Caenorhabditis elegans: one gene and its partner. The protein of the gene in region 1 purifies or fractionates together with the protein of each later gene. This does not show direct contact. Each region holds a gene or a part of one and is shown in the gene's direction. Other genes may lie near its edges. The genes, in order: ttbk-7 and gba-4.

Region 1 (8,787 bases):
GTAAAACTTGAATTTCTAAAACTATATTTTTTCTAAACAATTCACAAACAGGCTGATGCAAAGAAGAAAAGCGTAACCTTTGAAATGTCAACTATAACATTTTTCGCGCATTGTTGCTCGCGGAGCACGCGGAGTATCCGGAGACACGCTTGGCGCTACCAATCCAACTGGCTTCATAGTTTTCCCGCTCGGGAGCACACCTTAATACTCTGTGCTCTGTCGACCTCTGTCTCTGCCAAAATGTAGATGTGTGCACTACTACCTCAACCTCTCAATATCACGTTATCCGTCGATTGTATCGCCATTTGACTGCTAGCAAAAGCTCACATCCCAACTCGTTTCTCATTTTCTTCTTTCTTCAAGTGATTGAACCTATCTCGTCTCTACCTATGACGCATTCATTTTATCGTGAGACTTAACTTTCGATTAATTTCAATTTTTTAGAAATTTCGTAAAGAAAAAAAAACAGTCAGAAAATTTTATTAGTTTCAGTAATTCTTTTTTTCATGGTCTTGTTTTGGCAATAAACAATAAAAGATTACAATGAAATCTTTATTCAAAATTGAACTTTTCTATTGATTTTTTTAAATATTTTTTTTTATGAGAAAGTAAATTAAAATAGGTTACCATTCACACATTTAAATATTTCGATGTTCTCGGAATTTCTAATTAAAAAAAAGCACCCTTCTCGTTTGCAGTTTTCAGTTTTTTTTCCAACATGCTCTAGAATTAGGAATTCACATCGTATTTGGTATGGAGAGGCGAAATTCAAGAAGCGTGAAGGCGAAACCCAATATGTTCTGGCGACTCAACTCTCCCGCCCGGCTGTCAATTTAATTGCTCCATCGGTCGTCGTCTCCCGCATACATATAAGTGTCCTGACGTGTCATCGTCTTCTGCTTTTGCTGCTTCTTCCTCCCATTTTCCTAATCCGGCATATGTAATCCTTCCACTTTCCGTTGCGTCTTTTCCAAAAATGACGAGCATCCTTTTGCTCACTTTGTCCGTTTTTGACGAAAAGACCATCCATTGCACTTTTTCATGCATTTTTCTTTTTTTTGCATTTAATGAGATGTAGCAATCGTTCTTTTTTTTAAGAAAAAAAAGAGATAAGCTTACAGTTTTAGAATCCAAATTACACATGCTTCTCATTTTTCTTTTTAGCCCATCTGAATCATTGCACTTTCTAAATCTAAAACCACATCTCCTGAAAGTTCAATTTGATCAGATAGGAATCTGCTGGGTTTACCGTTTTCCGGAGTGCACTTGGAATGCTCTTTTAATTGCTTGTGGGCTCCATTTTAAGTGCGTGCCTATTCTTATTTTAGATTAATCCATTTTTTTGCTCCAATTTTTGTCATTTATTTCCTCTTTTGAGGAACAATGTCGTGATCGGGGAATATATTAGAAAATTAAAATGAGAAAATTCAAAATGATGACTAAACGGAAAATCTTTAAAATGTTTATTTTATTAGTTTAGAATGCTTACTGAAAATTGGATTTTTCTGATGTTTATCGTTGAAAACAAACTTAAAAAAAAACATAAATATAAATCTGAAAAAAATATAATCTGCAAAATTGTATATAAATTTTTAGCTATAAGAAAATTCTAAAAAATCGAGGCTAAAGTTTGTTCAAAATTCTTTTGAAAAGTTAAAATAATTTTTTAGAAACAAAAAGAACCAGAAGATTTTTAAAAGTCTTTTGTTGGGATTTTCAGGAAAGACATGTGACCTTGAAAACTTCCTTTTCTTGATATCAATTTCATGCAAAAAAACGAATTTCTATGTACTTATTTTCCTGCCAATTTGTTTCGTTTGTCTGAATGTTTTTTATTTGAAAAAATTCTTCCGTTAGTTTTCAAAACTCTGAACAATATACAAAGGTGCGTATGTTTCTCCCAAAATCAGTTTATTTCTTCTCCTTCAAAAGTCTAATATTTGCATGACTATTTTGGTTTTTTTCTTTTCATTGCAATATATATATATATAGTTCCTTCTTTCAACTATATTTTGTTCAATATTGTCAGCTGAAATCCAAAATAATCAGGCAACAAACTCATTACTTTTGCCTCTTCTTCCGCTTTCCTCAGGAGGTCTTGAGCAAAAAAGAAAACAAGCTTGTCAATTGTGATAAATGCTCGTTTTTTTCTGGTTCTTACTCCCTGTTGTTTTAACTCTGAAAATTGCTTGACTCTAATCCCTGCGCCTCTTTTAATCCTTTTCTCATTTTCCGGCATTTCGCAACCTTCAACTTTATGTCATTCTCTCTCTTTAGTTCCGATGCCCATCGGATCTTTATCTTCTGATTATATTGTCCTCCCCCTATTTTCCGATGGATTCGTTCCGCTCTCAATTATCCTGACCCGTGTTTCCCGTTCACTTACGGCCGAATAGCTGGTCCCCTTAATGCACTTTACACCCCTCTTTTCTCTATTTTCTACGCACTCTTTTCCTATTTTCTTGTCACCCTTCTTTTGGTTCATATATTCAAACAAAACCCGGGGACCCTCTATTCCACTCATTCTCTCCCGGTTAAGTCCCGTATGTCTCTCTGTCTCTCATTTACTTTACCAATGTTATTTATTCATGGTCATCCAAACAAAACGGCCGGTTCTTCGGGTCCTTTTTACGTAGAATAGCACTCTATAGCCTTCTATATTCAACTTTTCACCATCATCATCATCATCAATGACCATTTATTAAAGAAGTATTTTTAGATTTCTCACCTTTTCTTCCATTTTCGAATCTATTTGCATCTCTGCACCTTGTGCACCACATCCTCCCTCTAATCGTGGGAGTTTTCAGTATTTTAGTCCTTGTGCCACGTCAATCAAGATAGGGAAAAGAGCAGGCGGCTCACGGGAGCTTCTAGCTCAACAATCCGGGAGAATAAATGTCAGCTGTTCCTGGACGCGGGCATTTCTCTTTCTCGAGATTTGTCCCGACAGGGGGGGGGGAGGCTATCGATTTCGTTTTTATATTTATATCGTTTTGTTCATTTCTTCCGATGACATTCAAGAGAATAAAAACAAGAAATTGAATGTGATGATCGGAAAACAAATGTTTAATAATTTTCTGAATACTTTTAGCAGTTAGTAAATTGTTTTAAATTTACTTTCTTGATTTTCTCTCGAATTTTCACGATTTTTGTTTCATGGACAGTTCGTGGAAGTTATCTGCATTTGGCGCTAGCTTCTTGCCCAAATTTGGCTTGAAAAAAACTGGGCCAAAAAAGAAAAAACTTAGCGCTTTATTCCGGAATTATTAAACTTTATTAGGCTTTTTCAAAACATTGCCGAAATGTGGACAAGAACTTTGTATCAGAAACTAATTCCTTTTTTTTCTGTCTGTTTGTGGAAATTATTTTGTTTTCAAATATTTCGACGGCTCTTAGATTTCCATTTCCGTAATGTTTTACTTTAGAATTTTATTTCGTAAAATACTTTAAATAACCCCCATATGGTAATTTCTGGCAACTTAACTTGACAAATCGTGAGCGTATAAATCAAATAAGCTTTTGCTTGGTGCCACATACATAGTGCCCTCTATTTACCCGACTCACTTCCAAAATGGGAAGAATGCGTTTTTAAATGGAAGAAAGTAGTAGGTGACACGTCGGCAATGCGCGGCGAGATTTATGAGCCCCATCGGACATCTCTTCCTTCTTTCTTCGAAGATTTTCCAAAGCTCTTCCAAGGTTGCCTCTCTTGATACTTTTTCGGCTGGTCATTTTGAAGAAGGCGCTCCTTTTTCTTTGTGTGTGCTGCTCCCACAGCTTCTCCATGTCTACCCCCAACCATTTTAGAGAATATATTTGGTGCATTTGTCACTTTTCCCTCCTACCGCCTTCTTTCTTCGTCCAGCTTCATCTTTTCTTGCGCCCCATCTGTTTTCCATTCGACTTTTCTCATCTCTTCACGAAATATGCCATTCTCATCAACCACTTCCCCATTCGTTTTGCTTTTTTCTTATTGCGGTCCGATAGCCGTTTCATCGTTCAAAGATTCTCTTTTTCATTTATTTTTCTTATTTATTGAATTTAAATTTTCAGAGATGAAATAATGACATCATCATCAGAAGGAGAAATTCTTCAAGTTGGACAGGTCATCAGAGAACGATGGAAAATAGTGAGTTTCTATGTTTCAAGCTACGGAAACTAAAAGTTTTGGTTTCAGAAAGCGAAAATCGGTGGTGGTGGATTTGGGGAAATCTACGAAGCAACAGATGTTCAAAATCACCATGAACGGGTAGCGATCAAGGTATTTTTAGGATGTTTTTTTGAGAGAAATGTCTGCTTTTTTAATAGAAATACCCTAATTTTCCTGCACATGTATTAAATTTCTTTAAATTTTGAAAACCATTTTTTTTATCAATTCATTTTCAGGTCGAATCAAGCAAAGCAACAAAGCAAGTGCTCAAAATGGAGGTCGCAGTTCTTCGACGACTTCAAGGTTTGTTGGCTGTTTATGACGTATTTCGCTTTTTTTTTCCTAGTTTTTTTTTCAAGCCGTCATCAAAAATCTAATTACGCCTGTCTCGTTGGCATCTTAGCATCTCGTTTCTGAGAAATATTGAAAGAAACGGAAAATGAGAAAACAAAATCGTTTTACACAATAAAAACCTGTGATATAAAACCTCCTTGTTTCAGGAAAAAAACACGCGTGTAAATTCTACGGGTGCGGACGAAACGATAAATTCAATTATTTGGTAATGAGTCTGCAAGGAAAAAATCTGGCTGATTTGAGAAGAGAAGCACCGAAACAGTGCTTTAATTTGAGTACAGCAGTTCGTGTTGGAATACAGATTTTGAATGGAATTCGAGAAATTCATTCAATTGGATTCTTGCACAGAGATGTGAAACCAGTAAGTTAAAGTTTGAAGTTTTTTTGAAAAAAAAACAATTGAGAAATTGATTTTGCAAAAACTATTATCTTAAGGCCTAATGAAATTTTAGTCAAAATTATTTTTAAAAAATAGATGTCTGAAATAAATAAATATTAATCTGTAAATTAATCATTTTCAGTCCAACTTTGCAATGGGACGCACATCACAAACAATGCGAAACGTGTATATGCTTGACTTCGGTCTCGCTCGTCAATATCTGAATGCAAAAGGAGAAATCAGAAGTCCTCGAAGTGCAGCTGGATTCCGTGGAACAGTTCGATATGCAGCAGTAACTGCTCATAAAAATAAAGAAATGGGAAGACAAGACGATCTTTGGTCTCTTTTTTATATGCTCACTGAGTTCTTACAAGGACAATTACCATGGCGAAAGATTAAGGACAAGGATGAAGTGGGAAAAATGAAGGAAGAAGCCGATTTGGTTGTTCTTCTAGATGATTGCCCACATGAAATGCATCTTTTTGTTGCACATTTGAAAGTTTTAGGATATGCAGATACGCCTGATTATGTATACTTGGAATCACTTCTTAATAAGATTGTCGCTGAGTGAGTTTTTGAAAATATACAGTTGACTTCCATAAAAATCGTTGAAAATTTTGATTCGATGTAAAGTACCGTTTTTTAGTCACAAAAATTGATGCCTTTAAGGCGACCTACGCTTTCCCAATGCGTGCTTACTGCCTTTTAAAATGTTTTAGATGACCCCATATTATAGCAGATGCACTTATTGTCATAATAAACTCTTAAAATGTATTTTTCTAGAAATGAGATCAGTTGGGACGAACCGTACGACTGGGAATTAGGATACGACAACATGGCGACACGGCAAAAACAACAGGCGAATGGGAATTTGTCTGCTAGGCTGAAATCCCATACGACTGCAGTCATCAAAGATCAACGAAACGAGAATAGGTAGATTTTTTGAATTCAAAGAATACTTCCATTCATTACTCCTGAGTTTCAGAGCTCTCGATACTCAGGCTCCAATCACAATGGGTGAGGACGAAGACGAACAAACGAATGGTCAAATGGCTAATCTTGGGGCGGGGTTCGAAAGTACACACGAAAAAGCGGCGGAGAAACCAAAATACAAAAGACACGAATTCCTAAAGTAATTTACTCAAATTCATATAGAACATTGAGAAAAAAAACCAATTTTCAGACCTAAATACGGAACTGTCAATTTGGATGTTATCGACGCAGTAAACGCCAGATTTGCGGCATGTGACGATGAAAAATATCGAGGTGGAACAGCGGATGTTGAAGCAAACTTCCAACTTCCATCTTCAATTCTGAAAGCACAACCACAAGTTGCTGAATCATCACTTTCTATCAAAAGAGTTGCCGGTTTACCTGTGGATAAAACCAGAAGCAATAAATCAATAACAGTGAGTCTTGGAAATATTTTGAACGTAGTTTTGACATTTCATAAAACAAATTTATAAAGATGAAAAGTATAATTAAAGTATACTACATTTCAAATCTAATTTCCAGCTGTCCATAAACAATCGATATAAATCTGGTGCAAAAACCAACAAGATCTCATCGTTCGATAACACAAATGCTCAAATGGATGAAAACTCTGCAAATAATGTAAGGACACAACAGACGTTAATGAGTAAATGGCAAGGATCATTTGATGCAAGTTGCGAAGAAATGATGGATGGTGGAGATGCAGAAGATCGGGGACATGGGAGGCTAAATCCTGCATTCCGTAAGTTATTATTAAAACCCTTGAAACTATAGTTTCAAAATGTTCAGCTGTACCAAAAGCATCTCTACTATCAACTCCAAGATCAATGGATTCAAATACATCACCTGGAGGAAATTCACCATCATCTCCAATGAACCCAAGAGCATCTCCAATTCAACGTATGTTATTATATTTTTGAATCCAAGAATCATATTTAAAATATTTTAGAACGCCGGTTATCAAGATCTGAAAAAGATAGAAGTGGAATACACAGGACAGCAAGTTGTGGAGCACCTCAATCAAATAGTATTATTAGTCACTTTAAAGGATTAATAAATGTAAGTATCCATTTTTCAAACTTAACAATCCTAATAAATTTTTGAAAAATTTAGTCATTTAACAATCTTGGAGTCGGTAGTCGATTATCAAGGACAACCTCGATTGATGAGACTGCGAATCGACAAAATACTGCCCCAGTACCTGCTCATCAATACCAAATGAATCATCGAAATGAGGATAATAGTTATGGAATGAGGCATTCAACATCAATGGGAGTTCACAATAATAGTCAGAATACTCAACGGATTAGTGCAACTTTCAATGCATTTGAATCACCTGAAGAACGAGAACGGAGACGAGAACGGAGGATGAGAAGGAGAAGTGTTGAGAGCAATGGAAGGGTGAGTTTTTTTGAGCAATAAGTACTAAGATACACTTTTTGAACATTCATGTTTTGCAATTTTTGGAAGGATTTTGAAAATCTAACAGCATTGAAAAAAATCGAAACTTTAAAAATAGAAAATGGAAAAAAAACATTTTAAAATTTTCGTTTAATTTTCGTTTTTTTTTGTGCCCAGTTTCATTAAAGTTCGAATTTTCCAAAATATCCAGTGCTAATGCCAATTGAATTCGATTTCTTTGAAAAGTTCCATCGATTTTGAAACATTCCGTTCTTTTCTGGATACACTTTTGTAAACTTAAAAACCATTCAATAACTTTAAAAAAAATTTTCATCACTGTTAAAAATTCCAAAAAAAAAACTTTTATAGCTCCAAACGCATGTTGATTGAAAAATACCGCTGTCACAACAAGGAGAAGTTTTTAAACACTTTTTAAAATGCCAGAAAATTTCAAGACTGAAAATTATTACTTTAAAATGTTTTGATGTTTTTTAGAGCTCAATTTTTCAAATTTTGCAAATTTTGAAATGTTTTCAAAAAGCAGGAATGTAAACAGTTAGTGCAAGAAAACATGCAAATTTTCATAAATATTTCATTTACTTTTTCATCAGATTTCATTCTTAGAAATTTGAAACTAAATATTTTTCAGGTTGAACTCGAGACTCCACCTCCATCAGTTCGTTCTCCAGTTGTTGTCAATAAGTCATCTGTTGTACATGCTCCTGCAAGTTCTCCTCCTGTCAAAATTCGTGATAACGGAATTGATGAAGAATTCCGAATTCCACTTGAAGAAAACAACAAACCACTTCTGTTTTATAAACGAAAACGATATCAATTTTTAAATTTCCCAAGAACTTCATCTAAATCATAGCCATAACCAGGTCTCTTTTTCTTTCAATTATTTTTGTCCCTGTCCTCTCTTTCTCTCTTTCTTCTTGTCAACCAAAGCACTGTTATGACATTTTCTAGTCGAAACCTATCTTGTCCAAAAGCCTTTTTTCTTTTTTGTCTCATAAATATAATTAACAAAAAAAACATAATTTGAAATCTTTGGTATATGAACAAAACTTTCATTCTCTCTTTCTGTGCCATTCGGTTACGGTAATTCGCAATAAAAATATTGATCAAATCTTCAATTTTTCGTTGTCTTGCTGAGTTTCTCAACTAAGTAACAGTTCTTCTCCCAACAATTAGAAGTAAAATGATGGTGCGTAATCAAACTATTACAGTGAGCCCAGAACATTTGCCCCGCCTCTTTAAAAACCTGAAATGCACCTTTTTAACGATTGGATAAATCAAGAAAAATGTTTATTACTTCTGAATCACAATGCTCTTACAAAACTTCAACATTCATATAATCAATTATTTCCAATTTTCAAACATGAGGTGGAATTTAAAGTGCGCCAAGTGTTTGGAAAAGGGCTTTTGAAAAGACCACGACTAATTCTATAAATTTCGAATTAAACTCTAATTTTTAATTAAATAAAATTGAAATGTCTATCTACTGACT
Region 2 (8,787 bases), on another chromosome or scaffold:
GAGAAAATACGAATGAGAATTGCACGAATTTGAACGGCTCCATCACCAAAGAAATTACGCATTCGTTGCCCATTTTCGCGTAGACGATGCCGCTGAAACAATAATTCATTTGAAAGAATGTTAAGATCAAGCATACCACCACTTCCAGTTCATCCATAACGATTTGCATGAGAATTTCGATTCCAGAAGTTGTGTTTACGACGGCAAGCTCATTGTGAAGACGTTGACGTGCAATGGCCAGCTGAAAATTAAAATTGTATGTACAGTTTTTAATTTTCAGATTTATTTTAAAGACTCACATCTTGTAACGTTGTCTGATTTCCTTCTTCCTTTATCTCTTCACCTTCGAAAATAGTCTTCTTGCTCTGTGGACCCGTCACAAATATCGTTGCTCGTCGTTTTTGCTTCTTTGACGGTGTGTCTGACATTTTTCTGAAAATTTGAAGAATAAAATTGAGGAAGACATTGATTTATTATATTTAAATGAGGAAAAGACATCAAAAAAGAGAAAATTAGCTGAAATTAAGAGAGAAAAAGAAAAAGCTGAAGAAAATGGGATTTCCATTTGAAATCCCCGCGATGTGCGATGGGGCGCGATTGCACCAATCTACCGTACACCTTTTTTCAAGCATTTTTCAAGAAAACGTCTGCAAGAATAGACGTTTTGGGCTAATTTGAAAAAGAAAAAAACTAATAATAACCAAAGAAACCCACCAAACTATTTACATAGTCCAGGTGGAGTACACCACAGAGGGTGTGAGAGAGAGGCAGGTGTTCGTTGCGAGACCCACTGCTAGGGGAAGAGGGCACATAAATTTTATGATGGCCATTGAATTGACAACCGATTCGGGGTAATTTAATGCACCCTGCTGGGTACGCAATAGATATGATATTGCTTTTAAAGACATGGGAACATATTCCTGAAAAGATATCGCGATTCGCAATTTCAAGATTTCTGTGGAATGTCTTTCGGAGTTTCTTGTTATAAATATACTTTTTCAAGTAAAAAAACAAATTGGAAACTGTAGAAAGCCTTGTTTAAACTACTTCCCTCGGATTTCAGATGACGATCCAGAAGAATGAAGTAAAAAGTCAATGGCCGAGGTCTGGCTTTTTTCTAGGCCACATCAAAAATGAAGTCACGTTGAAAAATTCTAGGCGAGACCCATAAATAACGATATATTCTGTTAACCTGGAGATTGCAGAAAAGAAGCCATTTATAAAAATCCTTGTCAAAGCTAGAAAAAAATTACTGTTTCTCGATCATCTCATTATAAGGTGTGGTACAATTTCCCCAATAATTGTTTCATGAAGTTTAACCAAAGTTAGTTTTTATTTTCAATGAGTAATGTTCTTCAGAACTCTTAAATTCCACTTTTTCTTGTCAATTCTCAAAAACAAACACACAACCAACAGAATGTTCATTTATCACATCTGTTTTGTGTAACATTTTTATTTTTCGTTTTCTCGTCTTGATCTCTCCCCATAACAAACATCTCTCAGTCTCGAAACTATGACAGCAAAAATAGGTTTTCTACTAATTTTAGCTGTTATTTCTACAGTTTCTGCTCTCCGATGCTTTGAAGGAACCGTCGCATTGGATAGCAATGATCAGACTTCAAAAAAGGTATTTAAATTTTATTTACAAATATTAATATTTAAAAAATGTGTATATTTCCCATACGCGAAACTTTGTTTTTTTTTTGCGGCAGAAAATACGGTACCAGGTCTCACCGCGACAAATTTTTGTTTAATAAATGCTAATGAAGAGTACGAGTTTCAAAAAGCGGTGAAACTCAGTTTCAATTTAATTTTTAACTAATACTAGATGAAATACAAAAATTTCCAACGAATTAAAAAGTTTTAAAAAAATCTTGCAGGAGTGCGGAGGAATGTCGAATTATTGTATTCAACGTATCGATAAGAAAACTAAAGAAATGAGGTAAAAGAGCTAATGTCTATTTGTTTCATGGTCAGTCATGGCTTCTCCCTCGTTTATTTGTGTAATCCTTTTGCGGACAGTTCTCGAAGAGAGCTTGATTATTTGCTCAAATCATTCAAATCATAATAGGCGCTTCCGTCTTTTACGTAATTTTACGTCATTGTGAGGAAAAGCTCATATCTTTTGAGATTTATGATAGCTGCTGTTTCCAAAAAAGGTGTGTAAAAATTATATTTACAAAGAAAATGTAAAGCGACTAAAAGTGAAAACTCGGCTGCTCTTTTCTTTCAGGCAAAGTTGCAAAAACTTAGAATTGTGTATTCTGGTAATTTCTAGCCCATTGTCAACCTATCGACCGAAAGAATGTAATTAGTCAAACATGGTGAAATATATCTTCTAGTTGAAACTGTAAATCAAAAAGTGACATGTAAGCTCATTTTTGTGTGTAACTTTTAAAAAATCTCTCTGAGATCCAAGCTTATTAATAGTAAAACAAAATTAAAGTGAATTCTTAATTTCTAATCAGAAACAGTAAAACAGAAACAATGAAATTTTTCTTGATTTCCTTTAACTCAAATAATAAAAATTTTTCTGTTTCACATGTTCTTTAAAACTCATTCAATTTAATTGTTTAACATTACATGCTTAACATTACGCCCAAGAATAATAATAATTTTGCAGACGTGAATGCAGTTCGTGGAGCGATGAGCACAGTATGGAGGAGAAATGTCCGGTTGGTTCATTTTTTTCTGAGCATCAGACAATTTATATCAATTTTAGATGACCGGATGCCATTTCCAAACCAAAGATTCCACTTTTTGTTGCTGCCAGTTTGATGAGTGTAACGAGTGGAAGGGAGAGTAAGTTACTTTTTTTTGTGAAACTTTTTTGAAATAGGAAATACGAAAATTTTAGGTACGAAATACTTACAAGAATTTTTAAATAGATTCCAAAGAAAAAAAGAAAAAAATATATAAAGATTCATTACACATTTTTAGAAAAAAAGTTGAATCGAAAAATCTTAAAGCAGACTTCATCTATATATTGGCTATTTTTAAAACAATTTTTTTCAGCGGAACCGAGTTCAAAGCCGGAGAAACTAGCTCAAAATCGAAAGCTGTTCCAAGTGCTCCAAAACTCGGTGACGTCATCATGCCAACTGCAGCAACCCGTAAGAATGTTCGTGTGCATTGAAATTGCTTTATAGGATGAGATCAATTTTCTAATGAAATTTGAAAATCAAGTAAAACTTGTGAAACAGTAATTTTTTCAAGTGACTAAAACAATTGCTTGCTGATTTGAACCAAAATGCTGAACTATTATGGTTCAGTTGAAATTTTAGTTTTCAAATTATTTAAATAACACTAAAATTACAGCAAAATTTAAACTTTCAGAAAAGTGAAGACATCGTTCAAATTCCAACTACTGTCGCTCCAACCAGGAAGAGCAGTTTTGTCGAGCTTCCTTGATTTCTTAATAAAAAATTTATTATTTTTCTAATGGTTTAAAATTTTCCCTAACTGATTAGTTCATTTTGCATGAAATAAATGTTCAAAATAAAAAAAAAGCCTTTTAACAAAGTTTTCAAAAAATAATAAAATTTACAGAAGCATCAAAACGGTTCGTTCCAACTCGTACTTCTTCTATAATTGAAATCTCATTAAATTGTGCAAGTTTTTTTTTTATGAAACGACAGTAAAAAGCATACCATGAGAGTGTTATTACATTAATTTTTCCCACGTAATTAAATTTAAACACTGAAACGGTAAAATTTTTTGAACCTGCTAATAATATGTTAAAGTTCCAATTTCTTTATTGTTTTCAGATCACTATAGGTGACAACATGTAGCTCACTCACGCTCATACCACGAACTTTATCATACCATGATTTGTCCATTGCCCCCGTCATTATCTATATATGTCCTGCATAGTTAGCAGCCTGAAACCAATAATTTATGTGTTTTCCCTTCTTTTTTCCATAATTTCTTATCAGTTTCAATTATTTTTTGATCAGAATATTCCAACTGATTAGTCTTTATAAAAACGTGGTCAGTGTCTTCAAATATTGTTCTTATCATTTATTCATTAGTAGTCTTGGAAAGTGTCCGGTTTTAACGGAATACACTAGACTAGGCTATCATGATTTTGAATATATCCGTTTCTTTGCTAATATTTCTGGCGTTTTATGGATTTTCAAGCGATGCAAGTGAGTAGTAGAAGTGCCTGGAAGTGTTTAGAAAAGTTCTAAAAAAATATTACTGTTTCTCACTAGGGAGTGCTTTCACTATACGGTGCGATCGAGTAAAAGTAAACGTGTTATGCGATAGCTGGCATCTTAGGCTTTCAGAATCTGTAATTTGTTTCGGCGGAAGACCTCTGTGAGTCTGGAAATTTTCATCTGAAAATGTAGTACTGAAATCAGTTCATTTCCTATGGTTAACAGTGGATTTTGTCTCTGGCGCCAACAGAAGTCTCACCACAATGGTGGAAGGGCGAAATCATCGCTTCGGTGGTCGAGTGGTGAACGCGTTCGCCTCTTGAGCAGAAGTTTGTCGGTTCGGTTCCCACACATGGTTTAAATTTTGGGTTCTTTTATACAAAATTTTTAGAACGGGAAACAAATGTTTAAAACAGTTTTTTGAGGTTTTTACATTACTTTTTTGCTTTTTGATTGAACCACAATTACCCTGGAAACTTTTCAGAAATTTTTATTTTTTTCGAAAATTGCCACTTTTTTCTCCCATGAGAAAATTGGTTCCAAAAATTTTGTTTGAAATTTTTTCAAAAATGTATGAAATATTGTAGAGTGTCACGAATAACTTATTTTTCATTGTTTTCAATGACCGAATCACTGATTCTGATGCCGTATCAAGACGTTTTACCAAATCGATATTGGCAAAACATCTTGTTTTTGAGGCTCCATATCTCTGCAGAAAAAATCGCACTAAAAAGTGATCAACTAGAAACTTGTTAAACACAATGTGATCTAAAACTTTTCAGTTGAACACTTTTTTGTAAAAAATTTGGTTCCCAAGATATAGACCTTTAACTATTTAGAATATTCAAAAATAATGACGCTCAAATCAATTGGTTCCAACCTGGCAACCAAATTTTTTACAAAAAAGTGTTCAACTGAAAAGTTTTAGATCACATTGTGTTTAACAAGTTTCTAGTTGATCACTTTTAGTGCGATTTTTTTCTGCAGAGATATGGAGCCTCAAAAACAAGATGTTTTGCCAATATCGATTTGGTAAAACGTCTTGATACGGCATCAGAATCAGTGATTCGGTCATTGAAAACAATGAAAAATAAGTTATTCGTGACACTCTACAATATTTCATACATTTTTGAAAAAATTTCAAACAAAATTTTTGGAACCAATTTTCTCATGGGAGAAAAAAGTGGCAATTTTCGAAAAAAATAAAAATTTCTGAAAAGTTTCCAGGGTAATTGTGGTTCAATCAAAAAGCAAAAAAGTAATGTAAAAACCTCAAAAAACTGTTTTAAACATTTGTTTCCCGTTCTAAAAATTTTGTATAAAAAAGGCCAAAATTTAAACCATGTGTGGGAACCGAACCCACAAACTTCTGCTCAAGAGGCGAACGCGTTCACCACTCGACCACCGAAGCGATGATTTCGCCCTTCCACCATTGTGGTGAGACTTCTGTTGGCGCCAGAGACAAAATCCACTGTTAACCATAGGAAATGAACTGATTTCAGTACTACATTTTCAGATGAAAATTTCCAGACTCACAGAGGTCTTCCGCCGAAACAAATTACAGATTCTGAAAGCCTAAGATGCCAGCTATCGCATAACACGTTTACTTTTACTCGATCGCACCGTATAGTGAAAGCACTCCCTAGTCAGTTATGATATGACAAATTGTCATATCATGACTGAGAAACAGTAATACTGGAACTGAATTCAATGGAACTGAATTCTCAATAATCATTTAATAACTTCTATTTAAAAAAATTTAAAAATTCCCATTGAAAAATATTGCCGTTTCCGAGGTATAATATTTGAGTTAGTATTTGTATTACTTAATTCGTGCAATTCGAACAAATCTTTTTTTAAACAAAATGTGGAAATTGTGGAAAGTTGATACAGAAGTTTTACAAATTAAAAATACAAATTAAAACAAATATCGAGCATGAAAAATGCATTTGAAGCTACAACTTTTTAATATTTATTTTCACAAAAAAAACTCTGTTCCAACATGATCTGTTAAAATCCCACACTTTTATGATTCTGTTGCGAACAAGAAAATGTATTAGATATAACTGTCCTCAAATGCGTTTATAAAATTTCAATAAATGCGAACCAAATGTGACTAAAACGGACAAATCTGGACTTTTGCACTCAGAAATCGATTAAATTAAGACCCTAATTCTTAGTTCGGATTCGTCAGTTTTGCTACATCTAAATTGGATTCAACGATAACAATATTTTTTGAAGACTTCTAAAGATTATGTGAAACGGTATTTAAAAAAAAATTTGTCATTTCAAAAATCATTGTAGACATCAATCTTAACATAATTGCCAACATGAAAAGTTTCTACTGCTCCGAGGTAAAAAAAAGTAAAAAAAGAAAAAATTCATAACTTTTTGTTGTTATCCCAATAAAAAATTACTGTTTCTGTGTTATAATATGAGTTTTGGATTGGTATTGAATTGATAATAGTATCTTTTTTCAATATTTGAGCAATGATTTCATTACGCTTATACACATATGTATCAGATTTTTTCAAATTGTCAAACATTTGAATTATCAGAGTTTACAATTAACAAACCTTAATTAATAGATAACAGATAACAGTTATAATTTTTTTTAGGAAAATAACTCAGTTTCAATCTGCTAAATGCAAAATTTAATATTTTTCTAATCGTAACTATTTTTCTTCAAAATTAATTTTCGTATCCTTTAATCTAAATGGGCAGCAGACTGTAAAAAAATTATTTTAGAAACTTTTTTAGAAAAAATGCTTTAAAAAAAGCTTTTTCATAATTGCATATGCAAGACTAATAGAAGAAATACGGTAATTAATGTATTGTATTCATTGCTTGCAATGTGCAGGCAAAACATGGATAAAACAGTTTTAAAAAATTCCGTTTCAACAAATTTATTTATGAAATGTAAAATTTGAAATATGTATTTCGTATGGTAAAAATTTTCATAACCACAATTTACAGAACTGGAAATAGCTTTAGACATTTTCTAAACACGTAGTCCTGCACAATTTCCAAAACCATTCCAACTAACTAAACACAACTGAAGCCAATTTCCAGAGTCCCTTCCTTGCTCCGAAGTGAAGAAAGAGTATGGAATAGTTTGTCGTTGCAATGCCACGTATTGTGATACAATTGAACCACTTGGAACTGTTACTTCTGGGAAAGCAGTTGTCTATACAACATCAAGAAATGGAAAAAGAATGAACAGAAGTGAATTGAAGCATACAACTTCTTCTACAGGTACGTTAATTGTATAGGAAGTTCCATGAAGGCACAGAATTCTTGCCTGCATTCCTGTCTGCCTGCCTCCAGAATACACCGGAAGCTTATCAGTAACTTCTGGTTCGAAACTGATGCAAAATAGGCGGTAGGCAGGCTCTTAGATAGAGAGGCAGGCACCGCTCAACTAACACAAAAACCTTTATAATATTAGAATTTAGAGAATGATATTTTTTTATTTTGAAGTTGGCAAAAAATTATTCTACTGTTTCACAATTATTTTGTAACAATTGTTGATATGATACATCGTTTTTGTAGCCAAAACAAAAGTATATGTGAACACAACTCAAAGTTTTCAACCGGTAATGGGATTTGGAGCTGCATTCACTGATGCTGCTGGAATTAATATGAAGATGCTGCCACAGACAATGCAAGATCAAATTATTCAGCAATACTTTTCCGATGATGGTAAGTTATTTTCAAAAGATTAAGCTTGAAAAATAAATAATTTAGGTCTCGGGTATGTTTTTGGACGAGTTCCAATGGCTTCAACTGACTTTTCAACTCACGAGTACAGTTATGACGACGTTAAATTTGATTTTGATCTCAAAAATTTCAATTTAACAGTGGAAGATCTCCAGTATAAAATTCCATTTATCAAGAAGGCAATGACAGCTTCTGGAGGGAAATTAAAGCTATTTGCAACTCCATGGAGCTCCCCAGGATGGATGAAAACTTCTGGAAGAATGGTTGGTGCCGGAGAGCTATTGGGAGATCAGAATGGAAAATACTATCAGACATGGGCACAGTACTTTGTAAAGTAAGTTCTTATTTTCAAAGAAATAAAAAATAAAATTATAAAATGAAAGATTCTTCGAAGCCTATCACGCTCAAGGTATTGACTTTTGGTCTTTGACACCACAAAACGAGCCAACAACTGGAATTGATCCACTTTGGAAATGGCAAACACTCTTTTTCGATGCATCAATGGAACGAAATTTTATAAAGAAACTTTTGGGACCAGCACTTGCTTCATCACCAGTGACTAAGAATTTGAAGATTATGATTAATGATGATCAGAGAATTAATTTGCCACACTGGCCAAATGTAGTAAGTTATTGGTGGGATAAAACATTGAGTAATAGGTAGAAATGATTGAATGACTAAAAATTAATTAGATACTGTTTCACATTCAAAATAAATATATTAAAATTATAAACAAAACAGTAATCCAATACGAGAAACAAAACCTCTTTTATTTATTGAAAATTTTCAAAACTTTTATAGCTCTTTCCTTTGTTTATTTTTTTGTTTTCTATTAGGTACTTACCGTTTTTTAACACTATTAAGACTCCATTGTAATTAAGTATTTTCGAATTTTTTTCGAATCAAG

What was found.
Region 2: the proteins of ttbk-7 (region 1) and gba-4 fractionate together in Caenorhabditis elegans (co-fractionation; one large-scale study listed by BioGRID). This does not show direct contact.

The regions. Positions count from the first base shown.
Region 1 is NC_003283.11:12,891,139-12,899,925, reverse strand, and holds ttbk-7 (Protein kinase domain-containing protein), read left to right. Parts: upstream 1-4,053; 5' UTR 4,054-4,063; coding exon 4,064-4,129; intron 4,130-4,177; coding exon 4,178-4,261; intron 4,262-4,386; coding exon 4,387-4,453; intron 4,454-4,650; coding exon 4,651-4,865; intron 4,866-5,025; coding exon 5,026-5,450; intron 5,451-5,666; coding exon 5,667-5,816; intron 5,817-5,868; coding exon 5,869-6,015; intron 6,016-6,066; coding exon 6,067-6,292; intron 6,293-6,398; coding exon 6,399-6,618; intron 6,619-6,665; coding exon 6,666-6,776; intron 6,777-6,825; coding exon 6,826-6,935; intron 6,936-6,989; coding exon 6,990-7,277; intron 7,278-7,926; coding exon 7,927-8,148; 3' UTR 8,149-8,403; downstream 8,404-8,787.
Region 2 is NC_003282.8:5,346,133-5,354,919, reverse strand, and holds the start of gba-4 (Putative glucosylceramidase 4), read left to right. Parts: upstream 1-4,022; 5' UTR 4,023-4,081; coding exon 4,082-4,148; intron 4,149-5,498; exon of another isoform or gene 5,499-5,571; intron 5,572-5,990; exon of another isoform or gene 5,991-6,011; intron 6,012-6,198; exon of another isoform or gene 6,199-6,219; intron 6,220-6,358; exon of another isoform or gene 6,359-6,379; intron 6,380-6,624; exon of another isoform or gene 6,625-6,645; intron 6,646-7,099; exon of another isoform or gene 7,100-7,120; intron 7,121-7,232; coding exon 7,233-7,415; intron 7,416-7,703; exon of another isoform or gene 7,704-7,712; coding exon 7,713-7,862; intron 7,863-7,907; coding exon 7,908-8,214; intron 8,215-8,263; coding exon 8,264-8,504; intron 8,505-8,621; exon of another isoform or gene 8,622-8,645; intron 8,646-8,787. Other genes in the region: Y4C6B.1 (WH2 domain-containing protein), read right to left, coding at 1-92, 137-241, 300-428; Y4C6B.7 (Activin_recp domain-containing protein), read left to right, coding at 1,514-1,627, 1,881-1,942, 2,624-2,675, 2,723-2,802, 3,016-3,121, 3,337-3,411. UniProt on the Caenorhabditis elegans protein: Glucosylceramidase that catalyzes the hydrolysis of glucosylceramides into free ceramides and glucose. C.elegans contains specific sphingoid bases, which are unique or different in structure compared to the sphingoid bases found in other animals.